6 linked regions of the Oryzias latipes genome follow. The protein of the gene in region 1 interacts with the protein of each later gene in a pairwise test. Links are inferred from orthologs where the notes say so. Each region holds a gene or a part of one and is shown on either strand. Other genes may lie near its edges.

Region 1 (4,288 bases):
TTGGGTAACATCCTTCTGGCTGCTGTTGCTCAGTCTCACCTCTATGTAAAGAAGTCAATAGTGAATTAGGCAGTTGGGTAATAATCATGCCCAGAGCCTTCCAGATACCGTCACTGAAACAAACACACTTTGCCCGCTATTACCCATTACAAAATACCCATCATACCCTCTGCTGTATTGGAACTTAACCTTTTAATACTGGGACTGTACCCGGTGACAGGAAATAACGCGCTCTTCGAATTACGGTTAATCTTCAACCATTTATGCAAATAACATAATTCCAACAGATTCTAAAAGCTGAGAACGCAGCTTAGTACCAATGTGCAACACTTTACAAAGTGTTAAGCCAATGCAAACCGTTACAAAATGTTGCATTGACAAATGTGTAAACGGAACATGTTGCCTATATGGTTATGGTTTTGAGCTATGGTAATTCAAAGAATGCCAACACCGTAGCTAAAGCTCCTAAAATGCTCCCAGTGGTCTTTTAATTAAGATTATGCTGTTTTTAGCCAAAATTTAAAAACAAAAAAAATTGTCATTTTCTAGGACATAGTTTCTGCAGAGTGGCAGTAGTTACTTAGAAAGTTGTTTATGAGTTGAGGGCGCGACCAATGGCATGGAGCAACCCTGACCCCTATTCCTCTCCTCGTTGCAGATGGCTACCTGTTTACTCTCTCTTCCACCAGCTCACAGCCCCAATCTAACATTACCTGTACAACTAAAACGGCGATCAAAATTGGAGCTATCCAGCCCTATATTTTTGATCCAGAAGCCAGCCCAGACGAGGTAAAATAAGACATACATATTTGTCTGCAGGTGGATGTATCTGAATGGAGCGGAGCAGGGAACTTGGGGTTTGCAGTAGTAACTCCTACATCGTACCTGCAAGCTTTTTCAAATGGTATTTTTCGTCTGCTCCTGATTCACAAAAATACTTAATAAAGAAAGACTCAGAAATGCAATTTTAAGCAAAATGTCTTATACATGCCCTCCATCATTAGATAAATGCCACAAAAACATGTTAAAAACATCAAAAACACATTTTTCATTGGAGTGGCTCTTTAAAGTAGCATGTATAAGATAACGACACTGACTGTCTAACCTGGGATTTTAGTTTCTAACTGGCAGTGAAGTTGCTCGACCTAGTGAGCTACAGTCACCACATTGGATACATGAGCGTGGACTGTTGTTTTTTCAGGATTTGACATCGAAACTATTTCTAGTTTCTTCAGATTGGAAAAAAAACAGGACCAAACAGACCAGGTTAGCTTGTGTGCAACCAAAACAACAAGTCATCTTCTCCAAGTTCTGGTCACGTCTCAGAGGCGAGTCCAAGTCTGAGTCTTGGGTCAATAAAAAGAAATCAAGTTTCAAGCGGGGCAGTTCTGATGTGATACCAGGTGTAGACACACGGAGAACAAAACAGCAGCTATTTTAGTGTTCAAAGTTAAAAGAAATTGAAGGAAAGTTTGAACGTTCCTCAAAGTCAAACATGAAGTTGCGATTTGTTATTTTTCTCACCTCTAGGGGGCGCTGGCATGTCTGCTAAACTGCTGTTTACAAAAAGACTAAATGCATTTTTGAGCGGCTCAGACAAACAAAGCAGGAGTGATTTGATCTTTAAGGGTCTAATAATAAACTCTGAGACAGACCCATCCCCCCCCCCCCACCCCCCCCAAAAAAAAGGAACACACACACACTCAACTTCAACAGCTGGTTCTCCAGTACAGAGAAGCACTTGTGATGGAAGGAAAAGAAGCTGCTGGTTCTATTCCCTCAAGTAAACTGCAATAGGAGTTGCTGTGAGGAAACTGTGAGGGTGGTATATTCTTAACTAATTTATTTACAGCAAAATGTCCCTGTCTTCTGTAGATGGTTTGGGCCAGACTAAACCAAGCTAGTTGGTTGGTTAAGGAAATGCATTTCTGTCGTTCAGGTGTTGAAAAGAGGATTTGGCAAATGCTCCATCAGCACGATCCTGCACCAAATTTAATCAACTTCCATGACTTCCCCCCACTGTGGATTCATCACTCAGCTGCTTCCACTGGATTCAGACAAACGTTCATGTCTCCACATCAGAGAAATGAAAGCCCTTCAACACCACAGAAATGTCATCAGGCTGAGAATCCTTACCTTGGGCAAATGGCGCGCTTTGTGTCGTCCAAGGTCAATAATTTCAGCCTGTCAACATTCCTCCGTGCACAGGCAGAAACTGGCAGCAGGGCGTTAGACTACAAAGGCTCAGCAGCATTCGCAGCCAAAAGAGCAGCCTTTATTTTACCATCCTCCTCCCCCACCTCCAACACAATAAGGCTACAGCACACAGGAGGCTGCCGTCTGCCGTCTCAGACACGTAGAGGATGAGATTAAAACATAAAGCTCATGCAAGGCCGTCGTTCAGACTGAAGCTCTGACACTCATCGTGCTACGGATGTAAAAAGCTCCACTCTACCTGTTGTGTTGTTCAGAGTTTGACACGGCGCGGCTCAGCCTGGTTTGCCTCCTCCCTGTGGCTGCCTGGATGAGAGTGTGTGTGTGTCTGTGGTGGCAATGGACAAAACGAGAAATCTGGCTCTGCCTCCCTCCCCTTCCTGGTGATAAACACAGAGCACGTGGTCTCACCAGTGATGCAGCACAATGCAGCTCACAGCACAAAGAAAGACCTGAAAGTGTGCAAATGTCAGTTTGTGTGAGTGCTGAGCTGACTGAGATGTGAATCCAGCCCTGATAGAGAAGATCCGGGTCTGGAGAAGCAGTGATGACGTGAAAGCGGCTCAAACATCCAGCTGCAGCGCCTCGAGCTGCTCCTGTCCTCAAAGGTTCTGTCACCAGCTGAAGATGGGCCACGCCCTCACAGCCTGTAGGGGTGACTGTGTCCTGAGGCCTGCCCTGCATGTGCACACTGTGAAGTGCATTCCTGAGTGTGAGATTACTGAGAGCATTCCTAACCATCACAGGGGTACAACCCTGACCAAGCTTGAGTGTTGGGAGCGGGGGGTGAAGTTGGAGCGCCACCACCTTGGAAGGGTTGGTTTCAGGAGACAATGTGGGTCATTGTCCTCTGAACCCTCCAGCAATAGGTTACTCAAAAAAAACAGTTGTAACCAATGATCCAAAAACAAAAGAACATGTTGGAGTTGTCACAGTTTGACCCATTTGAAATGGAAGGGGAATTATTTTTTATCAGGTCAATGATCTAAGGACATGACTTGTTAGTGACTGAAGCTGTTTTTTGTGTGGCTTAACTAAAGAGTAACTCCATTCTAGTCATGCTTGCACAGTTCTGTGTCAGCAGGACGGTCTCTACTCTCCATGCTCTTCGCCATAACCAAGCTTCTCTCTACAGGCAGCTGCAAAGATGTCTGTCAACGCAAACAGACGGAGAGGTCCGCATCGCCAACAAACTGAGGGAGATGTTTCCATCAGCAGCATCGCTTATAGTTAAGGATATATGAGGCACTCAAAGATGAGATCCAAGGAATGCAGGGCCTCCGAATATTCACTGGCATCCCAGAGCAACAGACAAAGTCCTTCAACTCTTGACACACATTCTGATCAAATTTTGTTCACACAAATGTAAATAAATATTTGTCGCTAAATGATTGCTGTCATCTTTGAGAACTGTACAGTCTTGGTAAAAATGTAAAACACATATAAGGTTACACAGATGCTGTTTTTTTTCCCGCTGAAATAATATATTTAACTAGTGAAAGCTGCAACATGCACAAAAAAAGGTTTGGTAAAATTTTTCCACAACATCAAGTCTCGTTGGAACCGTATCCGTCTGGAGTTTTCTCAGGGTTGGCAGTGATTAGAGATCACTGCCAACTCACTCTCCAGCAACCAAAGTGAACTGCCATTGTTACTAGTTAACAAATGTGGCTTTAAGCCAGGGGAGATGTTGCTATGAAACCATTTCTATTTTATGTCAAAATAAAAAGGTGATTTTTCTTTGCAAAAATCTTACATGTTTCAAACAGAAAAAAACCTGAACTGTTCTCATTTAAATGATTGTGACACACTGCCCTTTACTAACACTAATACTGACGACAAAACCTTAAACCAGGTGTTCTTCTCTGACCTGTGGCATCAGCAAGGCATTTCTGGTGTCTCTGTTTTCTCTATTTCTCAAATGGAGACAATGAAACAAAAACAGTGCACAATAAGATTTCTTGAAGTTGAGTCACAGCATCTGGACCTAAAATCTTCTTATATTCTTAATATCTTCTGTTATATCTAGAACGAAAATCTTCACCAATGCACTGCACAAAAAAGATGAAGATGA
Region 2 (3,966 bases), on another chromosome or scaffold:
CGCAGACATAGGCCTTTTGCTGTAAGTGACTTTAAAACTTCACTAATGTCATCAGAAATACTACAAAAAATGTATTTCTAGGCTATACTAACGTTTTATGTTTAAATAAATTATCCAAGAAGGCCTGAATAAATTAAACAGGTAGAATTCACGCATTAGCTAGCTAACTAACTAGCATGCTAATATAACAGCTACGTACCAATTTGTAGGTTTCGCTCGATTTTTCTTTCTTTTAAAAGAAAATACCGAACTTATATCAACTTAAACTTTGCGTCTGATACCTTACTCCACTGTCAAATTGGTCGAATTGATCCTCAAAACAACCGTATCCTTAGAACAAAAGCACTCTTAGCACTGTTAGCAACCAGATAGCTCTCAATTCAACCACGGCATAAGTGAGAGGAAGACAAAACTACGTCACACGTTCAACAGTCGTCCAAACCGTGATGCGTTCAAGTGCCGTAAGATAATAGTAGGAACATTGATGTTCATGAGAATTGCGTAGTTTAGTAATGCATTTATTAACTACATTTGCTTATCATTAATTTGTAATAAAGTGAACTGAGCCACAATACTAAACAAAATTCTAAAAGGTATTATTTTTTCCTGATATACTGAAGTAAAGGTTAAACCCATTAGTAATGAATTCATTTAAAAGTTTAGAAGCGTTTCATCAAACCATATTAAAATTGAAAAATAAAATGTGTAACTATCCATTTTTTTCTGAAATATTATTCAGCTAGTGATATTTTTAAAATTGTTTTACAAAATTGTATATTTTACTTTCATCTGTGAGCACTTTTCTGTTGTCTATTTTGAATTTGTTTCTAAAATATTCAGTACGTTAAAGACGATTTTGAATTTTTAACTCAAACCTTTAAAAGGAAACGTGAGTCACTTTTTTAAATTTCCTTATTTCTAACAAACGTGTTTTTTACTATTATTTTTATTTATTTATTTATTTATTTATTTATTTATTTATTTATTTATTTATTTATTTATTTATTTATTTATTGGACATAGCGAAGGGACATTTTTAAATGTATGGATGTGTTTTATTTAATTGCTTTTAAAAAGGACAATTGTCGGTGTGCAGAGAAGCATAGAACTTCATTTCCCAGAATGCAAGTGGTTAAAGTTGACGCAGGTTTTGAGATAAAAACATCCTGTCTTAGCTCGACCGTTAGAGACGCCGAAGCAGCAGGTGGAGTGCAGTCTAATCCCCAGCTCCAGTTTAGCTGTAGAACTTTAAGGGGTTTCACGCCACAAATCTAAAACACCGAAACCACCGTGATGGCTGAAGGCGACAACAAAAGTTCAAACGTAATAGTAAGTGCACAATTTCCCTCCTTTTCTTCATCTCGTGACGTATTTTGGTGGTTTTAGCCTAATGTGTTCAACGTTAGCATGACTCGCAGATGCTAATTTTACTAGCTTTTCGCCGCATAATATTTCCATTAATGTTCATTATTAACTTACAAACTGTTAATAATATTAACTTAAAGTTTTGTTTGTATATGTTGTTAAAATTAGTTGAGCTTTCCACCGCGACTCTTCTTTTTTAACGCTAGTAGCTAACGTTAGCTAGCTATCTAGCATGATTTTTAGCTGGGTTTAGCCTTCATCGATCGAAGATTTTGATTGTTGAATGTTAAAATTGCATAACATAAGCTTTAATTCTTAATAATATAAAACGATATATGATTCTTCTTTTGGTTTTACTAACAGAAATGTTGGCATGTACGTTGGTTATTTCTCAGAGACGCCCCAGTGGGTTTAATTAAAATACTCCCCGCATTATAATCGTTTTGCGGAACATGTCTCGTTGCGGATACTATAGTTTTAAAGCTCCATTATTGCCTAATTTAAGACTTCCGCTTAATTGAGCCACGTCATTTCCCCAACTTTTAGAATAAATTACTCAAACCAAACTGTTGGTTTTTGGGCTTTTGGCTGCAGTGCCAGACCCTCCTAAAAAGAGTTTAGGCCTCATTTCAGTCACAGTGCAGCATTAGACTAATGATTTAAGTGTCACCCTGTGGGTAATAATTTCCAGTGAGTCACAGTTTTGTTATCAGTGACTCTGACTGATAGCTTTTGTTTTAAGGAAGATGTTTTTAGAAAGGGAAAGGCTGACAAGAGACCAAACAAAGAAGGGAGTGTATAGACAAATATTCATTTGTCGTTTTAACTATTTATTCAGGAATGTTCCTGAAAGCTTTCTTCTGTTTTTGATTCATCTGCTGTCAAAATAGAGTAAAAGCAGGAATAAAAAAAAAAGTCATCAAAATAGAAACATTTTTTTTTACTGGGGACTCCAGACTGGTTGGTTGGTACCGGGTTTGCTGAAGCAGTGTTCTGTGTTTAGGCTCAGGAAACTGCACAGCTGGAGGAGCAGCTGCAGGCCTGGGGAGAGGTGATCCTGGCTGGGGATCGTGTTCTGCGATGGGAGAAGCCCTGGTTCCCTGGAGCTCTAGTGGGAGCTACCACCGTGATCTTCTTGTAAGTCGGGTTTACTCTATGCTGGGTTGGGTTTTAGAACATGCCATACCAGAATGGTTTCATCTGGGATTCTTTCATTTTTCTTTCGGATGTCTACTTTTAAAGATCGACGCTTGAATTGTTAATGAGGTGACCTGTAAGGACAAAAGGAGGATATATAGTAATGTCGCTACAGAGAATTTGCTCTGAAAAGTCCAATTTCCATGAAAACTTGAGAAACTCTTCATTTTTATGTTTCATTCTTAGAGTTGAACAACAATTGCTTCTTTCAGGCCTAATTTTGTTGCAACACAAGGTTTTTCTTTGCCTGAGGGAAAGTTTTCGGTTCTCTTTCACTCTGCCTTCAGTTTTTATCAGAGTGCAAATGCAGTTGTGTAAATGTTTTCAGAGTTGAGAGAAGTTGGTAAATGAAAATGTATGTAAGGATTTAAAACTTTTAAAGGTAGTCAGACTCATTGACCCACGATGAGGGAATCTCACCTTCTTGGGATCTTCAGTGCTGTTGCCCAGACTTGCGTAAACTCATGTCGGCACATGGAAAAACTGAGGTTTACGGCTATTACCATGTGTTCTCTCACATCATGCTGCATTAGACACTGAGTTGTTTGTATTTGCCAACGTCTCTCTTTTTAACTTCCCGTGTGCTGCGCTGCGCCTTTTCCTGTAGATTTAGAGCTTTTTGTATCTGAAGTCATATTCAGAAAAAAAAGCTGCAAACTATCAAACATTTCTAGTTGTATAAAATATCACAGCCTGAAGATGCAGACTAGCTTGTTGGGTTTAAAAAGCACTTTGTGTTTTGTTAAAATCACAGTTCAGCTGCTTTCTTAATGTGCTGCATTCCTGTTTAATTCCCCCAGTGTCCACGCCCTTCCTCCATCTGCAGCCCACAGTTGGATGATTGTTTATCAGCCTCGCAATACTTTTTCAGATGTCGTATTCATAACCGCACAGAAACCTCTGTGTGTTGTTGTTTTTTTTTTTCAAGTAGATGTTTGAATGTTTGCTTCCTGTTTCAGGCTGGTGTATTACCTGGACCCGTCAGTGCTGACTGGACTCTCCTGCACAGTCATGCTGCTCTGCTTGGCTGACTACTTGGTTCCCACCCTCGCCCCCCGAGTATTTGGCTCCAATAAGTGGTGAGAGGATCACCCAACCCTGTTTTGATTCTTAGTTTGGCATCAGAGCCGACTTGGTTGACAAAAAAGTCTGAATGGTTTTGTCTTCATGGTGGACTTCTCTTTGTCAGACGTGATGCCTAAACGGAATGTTCATTGAGCTTTGAAATGTCAGAATGAGCTGAGAAGCCAGTTCACTGAAAACCAGACACCATGACGGCAGAGCGACACGCCGCAGGTGGCCAAGGGCGCCCTTCATCCCTCTCTTGGTGTCTTAGGTTTCTGGATATTTAACCCCCCATCAGCTGTCCGTGACCCGCGCTGCTCTACTTAACACAAATAGCAG
Region 3 (4,227 bases), on another chromosome or scaffold:
TTGGTCTTTCATTATGTCCCAGTCGAAAAAAACCTGAACTTAAACTTATTCCCATAATTGGTTTTGGGTTGTTCGTAAACATTTTAATCCACGTTACATCCGTCGTCTTTTATGCTATCAAAGCCAAAAAAATGAGAGGTTACTGCCTCAAGTGACAAAAACATATAGATTATATTGATTAAAAACACTCTATGCTCTTAAATGAGCCAGTATTTTAATAAAACTCAAACTGTAATTGTAAACTGATCAATTTTCTTTATAAACATATAAATGAACAAATCAATTAGAAATGGTGAATCTGTGTTGCAACCTCTTGTACATGTGTGTGTGTGTGAAATAAAAACGTGAATGAAAAAATCGCACACATTAATTGGTTTCATTCAGGGAAAAGAAAAAGCTTTACTTCAGCTCATAAGCTAAGTTAAGAAAGTGCAGTGGGTTTTTTTTTTTGTGTAAGTTTTTCTCATGTAAAATCACTGAATTCGTGTTTTCGTTAACATTTCAATCCACAATATGTTCGCCGTTATTTTCTATTAAAGCCTCTAAAAAAATTTAAACTCCCGCCCCGCTGCCTCACTGGATTTGACATACAGATTTCTGCCAATCAGATCAACCAGAAAGGTTACTGCCCCCAAGTGACAAAAACACCCCCTGAACACTTCGCGCAAACCCAGCGAGCATGCAGGATCGCCACTCGGTTAAGATTGCAACTGTGCAGTTGTAAAATGCGGGGTCGCTCGGTTGAAATTGCGCAGTTATAAGTTTCGCTCAGTCAGTCCTTATCTTTGCGCTTGATAAAATTAGTGGCAGCCATGAAACGCCATAGACATGAAACAGAACACCAATGGGGTACCTCTCTGTGTGGAGTTTGCATGGGCTTTTTCTGGGGACTCCAGCTTCCGCCCACCTCCAGAAACATGCTTCACATGTTAATTAGTTACTCTAAATTAGGCCTGCACAATAAATCGCAAATTTATTGTTATCGCGATGCATTATCGCTGTGCATTATCCATATCACAAAAGACAGCTAAAATCGCAATAAAAGGTAAACCTTAAATGTGCTAAAAAAATCTTATGGCCACTTGAATCATAAGAATTGAATACATAATTGAATAAATCCCTTGATACCAATCAGATGGAGCCTTTCACATTGCTAACCAATCCGATGGAGCTTTTATGTTAGATGTTGCCCTCCTAATTAGACGAGGGTCATTTGGAGAATAATTAAAGGCATTTTGACTCTTATTTAAATTAAACTGTTCAGTGAAATGGAAATATTTTTGTTGATTTTGCTATTTGTTCATTTATTGCAAGTTATATCGTCATCGCAATATTGATCACTAATATCGCAAGTTTTCCTCTTATCGTGCAGCCCTTCTCTAAATTGTCCCTAGGTGTGAATGTGGGTGTGCATGGGTGTGTGATTGTGGTCCTGTGACAGACTGGCGTCCAGGATGTCCCCTGCCTTTGCCCACGAGTGGCCTTGATAGGCTCCGGCAGCCCCATGACCCCAAAAGGGACAATCCAGGTTTAGCAGATGAATGATTGAAAGTACACTTTCTTCCTGTAATTGAGGACAAGGCATGTATGCAGTTCAAGAGGTAAATATGAAAATATTTTTCTGCAATGGTTGGATTTGTTCTCCTGCTTAATGCTCCCCTTTACTAACATGAGCTGAAAGTTTTAAGTGTATGGCATCTATGTGAAAATTGTCATGCATCATTTGAACAGTTACCCCGAGGCACTCAATATCTTGGCAAATTAATTATACCACGTAAGTGTTATTGCATTTTAGTTGGTGAATAATTGAAAAACTTTGGCCATTTTGGCATCTTTGCTGCTTGTTTTCTCTCTCAATCTTTTTAAGGAATTTACTTAGCCCTTGATTAAAATGTCCAATTTTTTATGATTCTTTTGAAGCAAAGTATCATAAATTGTTAGTTCATAATGCATTCTTCTCTGATCATCCTTATTAGGTAAGTTTTCTTTTTCACAAAACCAACTAAAAGCATTATTTTAGTGGGTGGGAAGTTCAAGGGTTAACATCAACCAGGCTCACACCTTAATAGCCACAGATCGGCAATTAATTCTTTGAATGTTTCCAACATATGCTCTTCCTTTTCTGCACAAACTAAGGCATCAAGATAAGTAGTAAAATACCTGTTAGATTAGATTAGAGCTTTCATGGAAGTGCTGTGCAGAGGTCACCTTGTATGTTTATGACACAATAATGTAGACACAAACCAAAACTCACTTGTGGTCTTCTTCTATAATTTTATATTAAAGGACGTGACTTTAGCGCACGACTACAAATGTGCAAAAGTCGCATCCCTAAGAGACATGATGTCGAATGAGCAGATACAGTTTGCAACAACAGTAACAAACTAAACTATAGACAAAAACTGATTCCTAACAGATTTTACTATATATTAGTAATAAGGATGTGAATAAATATAGAATAAAACAACCGCTTGTAAACAATCACTCACTATTTCTATGCAGATGAGAACTCCAGAATAAGTCCGTAACACACCCAAACCCAGAGGTAGAGAAATGGTTGCCGTCGGGAAGGAGGTGGCGGCGGCGGGGTCCACCGGGGCAGCGGTGGCGGCGGCGGGGTTAGAGGCTGGCTCCGACATTTTTCACCTCTCCTTGTATCTCCTTGCTCTCTGAATAACTAAGCTCTCTGAATTTACCCGTTAAACAAAGGACGGGCACAGAGGCAGAAATTCCTGCGGAATCATGTGTCCTCGAACAGGTCGGACAGGTGCAGCGGCCACTCCCTGGATACGAGGGATGCGTTCAGGGACGTCTCGGAAGATCCCACATCACAATATCCATTTTATAAAACAAGGACGGGTTTAAAAAGTTTATTATAAATATATTATAAACGTGTTCTGGTATTGTTATTACATTGTAGTCTTGTGTAGTCAACTAAATTAGTAGTTTGACTAAAATAAGTAGAAAAAGCCCCTTTATTTTGTCCAATGTTCTACAGGAAAAGTGTTGGGAAAATCAATTATTTGGAATAACCTACATTTTATTTAACATTTCTGAAAGAAAATCTCGCATGTGTCAAACAGGCACGAGTAAAACATATATGAGGCACTTCTTCAAGTTTTTCCACACTTTTATTATTAGTGTTTGATATTGCCAACTCTGAAATTTGCATGATTATGCTTTTATCAAATGCCCTTTGGCCCTGTAACGATCAAGGATAGCAGTTTTCTTCCTTTTTCTTATTAGGAATCACTATGTGTTTCACAACCCTGTTCCTTAAGCATCCCTGCCCAGAGTGTTTTACTGCTTTTCTCTGTCAAACACACCCAACTCAAATAAATGACTCATTCTCAAGTCATGATTAAACTCAGGAGCTTAATCAGGTTTGTTAGACAAGAGGAAAACTTGACCAGACGGTGTTGGGAAACCTAAATCTTTATAAACCTAAACATGATTTAAAAAAAAACCTGCTTTAAAAAAATAGAAATGACCTAGATAACATTGAAAAAAAAGTTTACTTTTATATTGTAATTTCACCAAAGACTTTTAAAGGAACACAAATGTTACTAAAATAACACTTGTATGGTGTCCTGTGAAATAAATGACAGATTTAAACTGAACCACTGGGCTGTCATGGTGAAAAAGCACAGTTTTTATGATAAACCACTGTCAATGATTAGCTTGAGTTTAGATTATGTTAACCAATGTTGGTTTAACCTCCAAGAGGGCACTGTTCATTTTTAGTGGACTGAATCTTTTCCCTTGTATAGTCAAAGTCTATTTTTCATTGTTTGTGATGAGTTTTTTTCTTGTTTTATACTAGTTTTGATTTGGATTCTCTTCATAAAACCTTTAAAAGGCTCAATGGTTTTTCAAAAATAACACATTCAGAGGTCAAACAGTCGTTCATTCTTTCATCTCCTAAGCCGTTTTGTCCTTTTCGGGGTCAGGGGGCTGCCAGAGCGTGTCCGGCCACTTGTGGGCGAAGGCTGGGGACACCCTGGACAGGTCACCAGTCTGTCGCAGGGCGTCAAACACTATTAATTTTACATTTATTTCATTTATAAGAAAATGTACTCACTGTTTAGTTTAAAATATTAAAGGGCCTATACCATGCAATTCTGAAGTCTGTCAGAGTAAACGACATCCATATATTACCTTTAGCACACTAAATAACCTCTTTTTAAAAAAACAAAATCAAATATGAGTCATTTTCTCGAGCTCATT
Region 4 (3,059 bases), on another chromosome or scaffold:
GGGGTGTTTAACCTTTAACCCTTACAGAGCCACTAAGTCTCGCCTCACCCTTTAGAGAAGAAGGACACTCATTTGTGTTCTTGTTACCTTTTTGGGGGGGGGGGGGGGGGGGGCATAAGTAACATAAAACATGAATGTGAATGGAAGTCATGAACTACTGTTCACATGACATCCTTTCAAAATAAAAGCCACCCTGTTGATCATCTCTAAGCAGCCAAAGTAGTGGTGTGACGTCAGCAGGGATTGAAAACCGTTTAGTATTTATCGATTTATCACCTCTGCCACAAATGTCTAAAGCTGACTAATCACAATTATATCAAAGCTAATAAAGTGACCTGCATTTTATTTTTTTGAACCATAGGGAGCTTAACAAAATGAAAAAGTATAAGAAATCTGGTTTCTCATCGGCTGCGCCTTGATTGTGGTTGTGCTTATTGACCTCCAGCTGATTTTCTGTGGCTCAGAAATCTGTCTAATCTGTCGGTGAAGGAGTTAATAGTACTTTATTTCACTTTCTTTCAATTTGACTTACCTACTACTTTACAGTTAAAGATTTCATCAAAGTCCCTCCAGGATGAAAGTTCCAGAAGAAAGTAGAGTTTTCACCCGGGGGTGTGGCTCTCTGATATTGAAAACTCTATTCTGGAACTTTTTTCCTGGAGGGCCTTCGATGTAACGCTCAACGTTCTGTTCTTTCTGTTTGGATCTCACTCCTCTGCCTCTGCTCGTTTTCTGCCCCCCCCCCCCCTGCAGTTTCTGGTGGGCATCACGGTGACCATTCTGACCGACATCATCCACTTCGGAGTCTACTTTTCCCCCGGCCTCTTCGACTCCAGCGTGTTCCGCTTCAGTGCGGGGATGGCCATCCTCAACCTGCTGCTCAAACCCGTGTCCTGCTTCTTCGTGTACCAGATGTACCGCGAGCGGGGGGGCGAGTACAGCGTCAACTTTGGTGAGTCCCGTCGGCGCGGTAAACGCATCAGAGAGGGTTCTGGGAGGACGGGAGTCTTTCACCTCCAAACGGGGCAAATGTTCTTCCTGAAGGAGCAGCACAAACCTCCTCCTCCTCCTCCTCCTCCTCTCAGCAGCTCCTTCAACTCCAACAAAACTTCATTTTAGACAAAAGTTTCTGCAGAGCGGGAAGGATTCATTTGAAACGTGTCTACGAGTTTTGGGCGGAGTAAGCCTGCGCTAACTTCCCATCATCCCTTGGTTTACTCTCTCTCCCACTAACTTACAGCCTCCCCCAATCTAGCATTAGCTGAGTTTGTGTATCGCTGATTGAATTTTTTACGTCACAACTTTGGATTTTTTCATCTGCTCCTGATCCCCAGAAATACTCAGAAAAGCAAACTCAACCTTAATTGTCTTTATATTTGATCAGACAAACAAAAAAATGTTAAATACGGAGGTTTAATCTAATCGGACATGATCTGTTTTCAGGTTAGCACACAGTTTTGGAAACCATCCAAAAAACACAAGAATCAATTAGTTTTTTATTTTTATTGTGTTTATTTATTTGAATCGGGACACTGCATATTAATCAAAGATTCAGCATAAATATGCCAGAGTTTTAGCACAAGAGCTACATTTCATCCGTTGTCCTAAGGCAGAAAGGTTCAACAAATTCATCTACAACACATTACAAAAGCACAATATTAGTGATAAAGATATTTACTAAGGTTATTTACAATAAAACAAGAGTCTAAAAAAGCCAAGAAAGACGACAATAATTTGTCTGCAGGACTGGTTTGTTTTCAGCTGTTCTGATTTCTGCTGATCCAGGAAGTCTGATCATCTTAACTAATTATTTAAATTAACTTGAAGTAATCAGTCAAATCCTCCTGAACTTCTGCTGAACATTCAAGTTTCTTCTTTGTTTCTTTTTCAAGGTTTTCCTGTTTTTAGTCTGTGCCGGTCACAAAAAGTTCAAATCAACTCTGGTTTTAAAGTTCTGCTGCATTTTAGCTCCAACTTCAAAAATGAAGCCGGTTAAAAAGTGAAACTGTCCCGGGGGGGTCCGTTGAATCCCAGTTTTATCTGAGAACTTTTGAGGACCAGTTTCTGACATTCTAAAACCCTTCTAACATCACGGAAAATATTCCTTTCTTTTCTGCAATGATGTGAATCAAAAAGCCCCACATTTGAACTTTTTACAAATGACCAGAAAGGTTTTCCTTTAATACTTTTCCTCAGAAATCCTTTTTTTTATCCGTCGACTTTCTGATGCGTCTCCTCCTCATTCTCTCTATTTTTTTGTCCACGTTTTCCATACATCGTTTAACAAACACAACTTTTTATTCTACATTCACTCATTCTGTGAAAAAAATTAAATAAAAAGAGAATTTTCTGTTTTTAGTAACACAGAGAAAAATTAAAGTGAAATGAAAGGGATTCAAACGTTTAAAGCTTTCTAAAATGTGAAGCAAGAATATTTGTGCAAAGAAAAACTGGAGGAAGAGTCATCTGAATAAAAAGCCAACAAGAAGAAACCGAAACGATAGAAAACTAGATTTAAGGATTAAATTTACACCAGAGAAGAGAGGAAAATACTTGGAAATGAACATTGACTGTATCAGAGAACTGGACTGAGCGAGTGTGATGTCATCCACAGAAAATGTTTCTCTTCCGACTCCAACCAAATGAAGTCGAATCAGCCGCCATTGTTTTGTGATTGTGGTCGCCACCATGTTGGAGCCATACGTCATCAGTAAGCAGCCATTGGTCCGAGTCCTTGTTTCTATGGCAACCATTCTCACCAATCAGGAGTGAGCTTGTTGGAAGACCACACCCCTTCCACTGAAAGCAGAGTCACTCAGTCCAGTTCTCTTATAGAGTCAATGGACCGCTCTGGAATTGGAGCATGTGAGGTTTCACCTGTGCTCTCTGGTACGGACATCTTCTCAGAATATTATATATTGCTCAGTAATAAACAGACTGCAGACACTTTGTCACCTTTCTGGTAGCCATGAAGCCTGACATCCATGAAGAACGCGGGCAGGAGGCTCCGCCTTTGTTCATACAGACACGTAACGTTACGCAAACAAAACATGTAGTGA
Region 5 (3,500 bases), on another chromosome or scaffold:
GTGAGCCCAACTATATCTAGTCCGTACCTCTCGACCTCCTGCACAAGCTCAGGCTCATTCCCTTCCAAAGAAGTGAGGTTCAAGTCCCAAAAGCTAAGTTCCATTTGGGTTTGGGCTGCCGAGGAACCCACCTTCAACTATCACCCAAACTACATCAGCCCCTTTAGAACTCTCTTACAGGTGGAGGGCCCACGGGAGAGCGATCCAACAATGTTTCTTCAGGTTGGACCCGACCGGGGTTGGAGGGAGGAGTCCAGACCCCAGGCTAGGCTCTAGAGTTTGTCCCCAGTGATGTCCCAATCTGTGTGACACATTTCTCATAAAGGGGGTTCTTTTACTCTTCACATCGAGAGGAGCCAGCTGAGGTGGCTCAGCCATCTGGTCCGGATGCCTCCTGGTTACTTAAGGAAGGAGTCCCTTAAGGCTCTCTGCTGGTTTCCATGTTTTGATTTTGACAGTGGGAGGAGATGAAATGGGGAAAAAGCACCTGAAAGTTGGACTACTTGGAAGAATCCATCACCTGAAAGTCACCTGGCAGTAAAAATACAGGACAGGGAGGGCTGTGGAGGCTTGGCAGGTCAGTTCATGTCACACATCTATGAGGGTGTGGGATTCATGCTAACTCTGCTCACAACAGTTAAAAAAAACTCTACTCTTCCACACAAAACTGGAAGACTTACCACACTTTTTAGCCAAGGAAAGGCTGCAGCAGGTGGCAGTAAAGTTAGTAGATTGTCCTTTTTTCCAAAAACACATCCTGGAAACTGTTTTACAGACCTCATACAGTCTTTAACTTGGCCACAGTTTAAACAGCCCATAATAAAATTGATATACATCAGTTTTAGGTAACATGCTAAACAACATACTGTATATAAAACGTACTGCATGTATAAAAAATAACAGAGAACATCTTCAGAAGCTGGAAATCCCTTTGATTTGTTGATTTGTTTGTGTTTTATGAAGCTCAGTAGGGTTAACTTAGGTTAATTACTTTAAAAGTCTTGTAAATTGTAATCATTAACTGTATATGAGAACTGGACTGAGTGACTCCTCCTCCCTGGTGTTCCAAACAGGAAGTTCCCACTGGATCCAAGAAGTCAAAATCTCATAGACTTCTATAGAGAAATAAACAGCTGTTTATTACTCAATCACTATAATGGTCGGAATAGCTATTCTTGCTCTGCTACCTTTGGAAATCACAAAAGTAGGTAGTGCCAGCTGGTCCCCATGTCCAACGTTAAAATATTTGATTGACAGATTCTGGCAAGTCCACTTTCATGTGGTAGGGGTGTGGACTTCCAATAAGTCCATTCCTGACTGGTGAGATTTGTTGTCATAGAAATTTGGACTCAGACCAATTACTGCTTACTGACATCATCTGGTTCCAACATGGTGGCGTCTGTATTGTAAGAAAATGGCGACTGAATTGACTTAATTTGGTTGGACCTAGAATTAAACTGTTGTTTATGGATGACGTCACACCCACCGGTCCAGTTCTCTTACACAATCTATGGCTGTTCTAGTAAAACCTGTATATGGTCCATTAGCAGACAATTAAGATAATCTGATTTTGATGCAAACATCTGTACGTAATTGGATTATTACTGTCATGATTACTATATTGATCAGTATTTTTTATCTTTTTATTTTTTTGTGTTGCTTTGAGACAACTTTTAAGTTAGATTCAAATGAAAGAAATATACTTATTTTGGCTTTTTGATGTTGTCTTGCATTCTTTTCGTAGCTCTTTAAAGGGATTTTAGTTATGTAGTGACACTTACAATTAAAATAATGAACGCAGCTGGTTTTAGGAGGTCAGGGTGGAAAGGGAGGAGTCGAGGACGAATACTCACTCTTTGTTCCTCCTCCCTCTGTTGCAATGGCACCACTTTAGCCCCTGATGTTTGTGCAGAGGAACTTGGTAAACTTCTGGTGTCTGACTGAGCTACTGTGGCCATCGGCGTCACTAAGGTTTTGTTTTTCACCAAAGTGGACAAAACTGAAGAGGGAAGCGGGAAAAGACATATTATTGAGCAGAAAGGTAATTTGTCTTGAGCTTTTAGGCCTCTGGCGGGTCGTACCTTCCCTGGTGAGGTTTTCAGCGGCACTCATGGCCTTCCCACTGAGATCACTGACCATGTTGTCCACCGTTGCTTCATGGCGGAGGAAGATGGGACGAACTACCTTGTTGTAAATTATCTGCGATCCATTCCATGACATAGGAGCCATACACCACAACAGGAAGAGACACTGTTGAGTAAAGGAGTAACTCAAAATTTGATGTACTCCATTGCACGGCTATAATTCCTTCTTTAGAAGAAGGGCTGTGGTGTAATGCCTTAGTTACATGCACCTGTGAAGGGGTTGACTAGTACGGGGGCTGTGGGGTTTTGGGTTGTTCGAGCCCACAGGGGGTCATGGACAGGGGCAGTTTTAAAGGGACACCAGGCGTGTCTTACACTTTCCTTTTTGGCTCCTGCAGCCATCTTAAGGGAAAATAAAAAAATTGAATTTTCCATCTGGTAAGTCTATCGTCAAGTGTTTGCAAGAATTACGTAAGTTATCCATGAATCAATGGTGTACGGGTGATGCTGTCATGCGGTGCCCTAACAAAGCACTCTAGTCATTAGTGAGGTATTGGCCCCTTACTCACACTAGACGTACAGCGTTTTTTGATTTATAAGTATCTATACAAACGTGGATCAAATATCACGAGCCCTCCTCTGCACGAAAGTGCCTGTAGGGCACCCACACAAACTACACTCTGATTGCCTAATTTCACTGAAAGCACGGGGCGCAGAAAAAACGCGCACTGTGTGCTCAAGGAATGTGTACTGTATGAGTAATATACAGTATCGAATACTAATCATAAATGGGCCCTTAGTGCAGTGCACAGATTTCAGGAGGGGCTTAAAATAGGAAAAATCTGTTCAACGTTCCTGCATCTCACCTATTTCTCCCGCACTCACCCTTATGTGTTGTTTTAGTGTTTGCTACAACCTGTTGCCCGCAGCCTGCCCATAGGGAAAAGCAACATGAACATTTTCTCTCTATAGGCTCATTAAACGGACTGCAATCTTAATTTTTCCTGCGGGACCCCTGTGTGCCCGTGCAAATTTCCCCACTTTTCGCCCACATCCACCCTAAAGGGTAGTTGTGACTAAGGCATTACTGTTCTTTGAGGAAGACTGCAGGTCAGAAGCAGAAACACACATTACTTAATTTTCCATTTGTCTTAAAAAAGTAAACATGTTGTTTTATTGTTTAAAAACCCAGTTTACAAATCGATTCAAATCAAACTTTATTAATAAAATACTTTTTGCACACATGTACCGCAAAGTGTTTTGTATTTGTATAATAAAAAGCTCTGTGAACTACTTAAAAATTAAAGACAGGAACTTTCTGTTATAAAGAAATATATTTTCCTAGAAATTCAGAGAAGGTCCAAATACGTGGCACAAGATTGTAAAACATCCAAGGTTGACGATTGCTGTCTAACA
Region 6 (4,228 bases), on another chromosome or scaffold:
TCCCATAGTAGTTAAGGCACTCTGCTTCATCCCAGTATAAGGAATTCTTCAGTGTGCATTCAGGATAATTCATTGAAGCCATGGTTTACCCCTTTTTTCCAAGTTTCCCACTCAAATAAAACTGTGGAGTTTAGGGGAAAAAGAAAACAAACACAAAAAAATTACTTTAACCATGTTTATGTTTGAAACTTGAAACCAAACAAATGGTATCAGGTTCCTTAATTAATAATTTCATTTAAAAAACGTAACAATTTGAAGGCCCCACTCCGATCATCTTTTAAAATATTTTCAAAGCGTTCCCCGTGTTGTTTTCTAGGAAGGTTTCTGCATAGCGGCAGGAGTTAATTAGAAATTAACCCCCCAGAGTCGTGGGCAGGACTGCTGGCATGGAGTTAGCCCCCCCTTACCACCATCCCTTTACACACTCGCTTACAGCCCCTCACAATCACAACTTCCACTGCACATTAGTGGTGCAACAAAAATTGTGAACAATATTGGAGCTATCCAACCGTACAGTTTTGAGCCAGATGGCAGCTCAGACGAGGAAAATGAAGCCCAAATGTGTCAGAATGAAGCATCAGAATGGAGCAGTGAGGGAGCTTGGTTGGTGTAGTAGCTTCTACGTCACACTTACACGTTTTTTTGCAACAGCTTTTTGCGTCTAATTCACATCAGTTTGCATAAAGAAATACTCAGAAATGCAATTCTAAGCTAAATTTTCATTTTCATCGGAGTGGGTATTTTAATTGTAGCTAGTAGTTGTCATGTTAAGTCTTTGTGTGTACATTGTGTGCCACAAACGAACACTCACTATTTAAGATTTTCTTCAAACTTGCAAGCAGCTACCACCTATAATGAAATGCATCGAGATGTGTTTAATTACTGTCATATATGCCTAGCTACAATTGCTAATGTTATCTTTACCGACTCGGTACCGTTCCTCTGAACAGAGTTATGTAATCAGTAGGGTGGGGGACAACACATACAAAACACACAGCTCTTCAATTGTTCGATTAAAAACACACACACAGGAGCTCGTTGGCAGTTATACTTCACGTAACACCACGCAAAATTAGCAGAAAAACAATTCTAGAGACAAATAAGACGGTCTATTGTTTGTTTCAACGACGGTCGGTGCGACGACATGATGATGAATCCCGCTGAACTTATTAGTCTAGCAGACGCTAAGGCGTCAACTAATACAGCGTAACGTTAAACACGCGCCTTTAAAACACTATTAGGTTACATTTTCCACAAAGAGAATATTCCTAGAGTGCATTAGACCTCACCTTTCAGCCGCGATAGCTTGCCTGACGCTGGATGATCTAGCAACTTCCACAATGCAACGTGCGACGTGACAGTGGCTAGACGTGAGTCGTAAATTGACCAATCACAGCTCTCGGGCTGGGTTTCATAACGTAAGGTCACGTTTTTGCCACACTTAACATACCGATTGTTCCCAGATTGTTCCTAAAAGAATCAAGGTAGTAATCTCTGTCACTTTGGCACTAAAAATGTTTTTTGATTTCTTGTCGACTTCAAAGTTAAATAGAGGAATGAATAAAATATTTTTATATGGTTAAATGTAAGGGAAAAAATAACATCATAGACTGGGGAGTTCTTTGGTGCAACCAGCAGGGGGCAGTGTGCGGCATTGGTGTTGTAGGAAGTTCTTTTCTTCTTCTTCTTCTTCTTCAGCCACATCACATCCGTGAGGACCAACAGCAACAAAACAACTTGGCTTTTTATCCATAACTTGGTCTGTAAGTATCTACATCGTCTGTAGGTTTGACATTTGACACATCACGAAGGTAAAATCTTATGTCTTTTCATTTCAATGTTTATAAATTACTGTGATCTTCGTACAATCAGTTTGATTTAACATGAGACACGAAGAAGTAGGTAGTATTCATTTTATAAAAGTTATTCCACTTATAATTCGACACATATGGACAAATTTGATCCTTAAAAGATTTTTACTTGCTCAAAATGTCGTTTTCTGGCTCAGTTCTCGGCCTTTGTCAGTGATGTGGCAGTGACCAAGCCCTGTTGACAAAAATTTTCCACTTACGAGATCCGCTCCTATGTTTCTGGCCAATCAGGAACAAGTTTGAATTAAAATCTAACCTCTATGCTCTTAAGAATAATGTGGAAACTAGTGATCATGTAGTTTTTCTTTTGTAGTTACTGCTGTTTCTCCATTTTAAACACATTTTATAAAATATATCAATTGTTATTTACCTTTAAAAAATAAAGTAAACAGGTTTTCCTTTCCTTTTTCCTTTTTTATTTATTTATTTAAGTTTGCTTTTGATGCACCTCGAGGAGTGTTACAAAAATCGTAAAGATTGTATGGTTGTATGGTGTATGGTGTTTTATTTCCCATTTAAACAGGGGAAAATAAAGAAGAATCCAGAAAAATTCTGACATGTTTTATAAAGGATACATATCGTTTGTACATTGAAAAATACGAGGAAAAATGCAAACTTCCAATAAGACAATCTTTTTTTTTCTTTTTTTTTTTTTTAAATTAACTTTAGAAGCAAAATGGAGAAACTAAACAAAACAAAATCTTTAAACCACTTGACAAACCCAATGATGTAACAACATCCCACATGCAAACTTGGCATGCACTTATCTGCATGTTAACAGTAAACAATAGGCAAAAAAGGAAAAGAAAAGGAGTCAGATCTTTCCTGAGCTTCTATCTTCCGTTCATTTGTTTACTCAGTTACCCATTGTAGTATTTGGGTATATGTCTTCAGTCATATGTATATATTTTCTATTTTATGATTTTCTATAATTATTATTAATACTTAGGCTCTTCATTAAACAACCTCAAACTCAAAAACGTTAATATTCTTTTATCCCACTTCATCTCTCGTAAAAAACATCTATCTCCATATAAAGGAAGGCCATTTTTCCACACAGTTTTTGGACTATTTATCTTGTGCTGATCCGAAGAAGGGGGAAAAAAAAGTATGTGAAGGAAAAATCTTAAGACTATTTCTTTTATTTTATTTATTCTATTTTCTTTTATTTTCAGGAGAAGGTTTGCAGATGCCATCTGGAGTACCAAAGGGAGAGAACTGTCAAGTGGACATGGACAGCAAGGCTGGAGATCTGTTTACGGCTGAAGATGCTCACCCAACTGGCACGGGTGGAGCTGGAATCCTTTCAAAGTACGAGTCAGTTTTGTTTTTTTTAAAAAGGAGTTTAGTGACCCAAACAACTTTCTTCGGTGATGGACGTGGACATTAAACAGCGTTTGTAGAAAAACCACAGCAATGGTGCTAAGGCTCTGTGAGTTACTGTCTTTACACATCCACTTTTGGGGGTGGAGTTAGTCCTAAATCCTCATCCTCCTGTTCTGTAGACTGTGCCTCATTACTTAAAATTTTTTTTTTTTTAAAGTTTTGTTTTGTCAAAGTTTCTAAGAATTTCCTTAATCAAACTACAAAATACTTTTTTGTTTTGCTCATATTGTCAAAAGTTGTAATGCATTGACTTTTTCCTTGAGAGTTTGTACGCTTTATTACCATTTTACCTTTATTTTGTAGGCTCTGGCTCCCTAAAGGCTTCTCTGCCAGCATGGCCAAGGAGTGGATTGATAGGCGCCGATTGTCCATTCGACCGTGGGCCAGTTTTGTGGACCAACGCAAGTTTTCAAAACCACGAAACTTCGGAGATGCATGCCAGAGAGTGGTGAAAAATGTGGAAACTTACAACAGCAACTACACCTTCATCTTCCTGGGTCTCATCCTGTACTGCATGTAGGTGTAAACCTGAGTTTGCTTTGGCCTTACCTCAAAACATTATTGAAGTTTTATGAAATAACAGATGCAACACTGACTGCACACACTAAGGCCACCGGGATTGAGAAAAGAAAAAGAAAAGATTGAATCAGTAACAGCATTATGAGCCTTTTTTTTTTTCTTTTCTTGTCAGTATAAGCTCCCCTATGCTACTGATTGCATTGGCTGTGTTTCTTGGTGCCTTCTACATAATCCACCTGAAGTCTCAAGAGTCCAGACTGGTTGTTCTTGGTAAGTAAAACAGAAAAACTGCTGTCCTTAACTTGCCTGAAAGTGAAAAAACTTTTTTTCAGAGTTTTTTTCAGCCATGCATGAAATGGGAGAATCTTATAGAAAGCCACAGAGAATTATGTTTTCATGTGTTTGCCAACTTTGTTTTTTTCCAGGCAAACAGCTTAATGTCCCTCATCAGA

The links.
Region 2: the proteins of ndrg4 (region 1) and arl6ip1 interact in binary tests that used the Homo sapiens proteins (3 or more experiments, as listed by UniProt). The two-hybrid records come from large-scale screens. The link is inferred for Oryzias latipes from reciprocal best matches to the Homo sapiens genes NDRG4 and ARL6IP1.
Region 3: the proteins of ndrg4 (region 1) and mal2 interact in binary tests that used the Homo sapiens proteins (3 or more experiments, as listed by UniProt). The two-hybrid records come from large-scale screens. The link is inferred for Oryzias latipes from reciprocal best matches to the Homo sapiens genes NDRG4 and MAL2.
Region 4: the proteins of ndrg4 (region 1) and agtrap interact in binary tests that used the Homo sapiens proteins (3 or more experiments, as listed by UniProt). The two-hybrid records come from large-scale screens. The link is inferred for Oryzias latipes from reciprocal best matches to the Homo sapiens genes NDRG4 and AGTRAP.
Region 5: the proteins of ndrg4 (region 1) and receptor expression-enhancing protein 6 interact in binary tests that used the Homo sapiens proteins (3 or more experiments, as listed by UniProt). The two-hybrid records come from large-scale screens. The link is inferred for Oryzias latipes from reciprocal best matches to the Homo sapiens genes NDRG4 and REEP6.
Region 6: the proteins of ndrg4 (region 1) and rabac1 interact in binary tests that used the Homo sapiens proteins (3 or more experiments, as listed by UniProt). The two-hybrid records come from large-scale screens. The link is inferred for Oryzias latipes from reciprocal best matches to the Homo sapiens genes NDRG4 and RABAC1.

What each region holds. Positions count from the first base shown.
Region 1 is NC_019864.2:4,034,588-4,038,875, reverse strand, and holds the start of ndrg4 (protein NDRG4), read right to left. Parts: upstream 2,801-4,288; 5' UTR 2,786-2,800; coding exon 2,710-2,785; exon of another isoform or gene 2,595-2,709; coding exon 2,456-2,594; intron 2,444-2,455; exon of another isoform or gene 2,137-2,443; intron 1-2,136. UniProt on the Homo sapiens protein: Contributes to the maintenance of intracerebral BDNF levels within the normal range, which is necessary for the preservation of spatial learning and the resistance to neuronal cell death caused by ischemic stress.
Region 2 is NC_019866.2:2,356,161-2,360,126, reverse strand, and holds the start of arl6ip1 (ADP-ribosylation factor-like protein 6-interacting protein 1), read left to right. Parts: upstream 1-1,166; 5' UTR 1,167-1,293; coding exon 1,294-1,329; intron 1,330-2,368; coding exon 2,369-2,502; intron 2,503-3,521; coding exon 3,522-3,641; intron 3,642-3,966. UniProt on the Homo sapiens protein: Positively regulates SLC1A1/EAAC1-mediated glutamate transport by increasing its affinity for glutamate in a PKC activity-dependent manner.
Region 3 is NC_019874.2:10,913,543-10,917,769, reverse strand, and holds the start of mal2 (protein MAL2), read right to left. Parts: upstream 2,801-4,227; 5' UTR 2,640-2,800; coding exon 2,490-2,639; intron 1-2,489. UniProt on the Homo sapiens protein: Member of the machinery of polarized transport. Required for the indirect transcytotic route at the step of the egress of the transcytosing cargo from perinuclear endosomes in order for it to travel to the apical surface via a raft-dependent pathway.
Region 4 is NC_019863.2:32,259,499-32,262,557, reverse strand, and holds part of agtrap (type-1 angiotensin II receptor-associated protein), read left to right. Parts: intron 1-753; coding exon 754-952; intron 953-3,059. UniProt on the Homo sapiens protein: Appears to be a negative regulator of type-1 angiotensin II receptor-mediated signaling by regulating receptor internalization as well as mechanism of receptor desensitization such as phosphorylation.
Region 5 is NC_019862.2:22,302,291-22,305,790, reverse strand, and holds part of receptor expression-enhancing protein 6, read right to left. Parts: intron 2,251-3,500; coding exon 2,082-2,250; intron 2,000-2,081; coding exon 1,854-1,999; intron 704-1,853; coding exon of another isoform or gene 689-703; exon of another isoform or gene 681-688; intron 1-680. UniProt on the Homo sapiens protein: Required for correct function and survival of retinal photoreceptors. Required for retinal development.
Region 6 is NC_019874.2:20,935,573-20,939,800, reverse strand, and holds the start of rabac1 (prenylated Rab acceptor protein 1), read left to right. Parts: upstream 1-1,428; 5' UTR 1,429-1,484; intron 1,485-1,698; 5' UTR 1,699-1,763; exon of another isoform or gene 1,764-1,811; intron 1,812-3,046; 5' UTR 3,047-3,060; coding exon 3,061-3,182; intron 3,183-3,560; coding exon 3,561-3,773; intron 3,774-3,948; coding exon 3,949-4,046; intron 4,047-4,201; coding exon 4,202-4,228. Other genes in the region: dedd2 (DNA-binding death effector domain-containing protein 2), read right to left, coding at 1-82. UniProt on the Homo sapiens protein: General Rab protein regulator required for vesicle formation from the Golgi complex. May control vesicle docking and fusion by mediating the action of Rab GTPases to the SNARE complexes.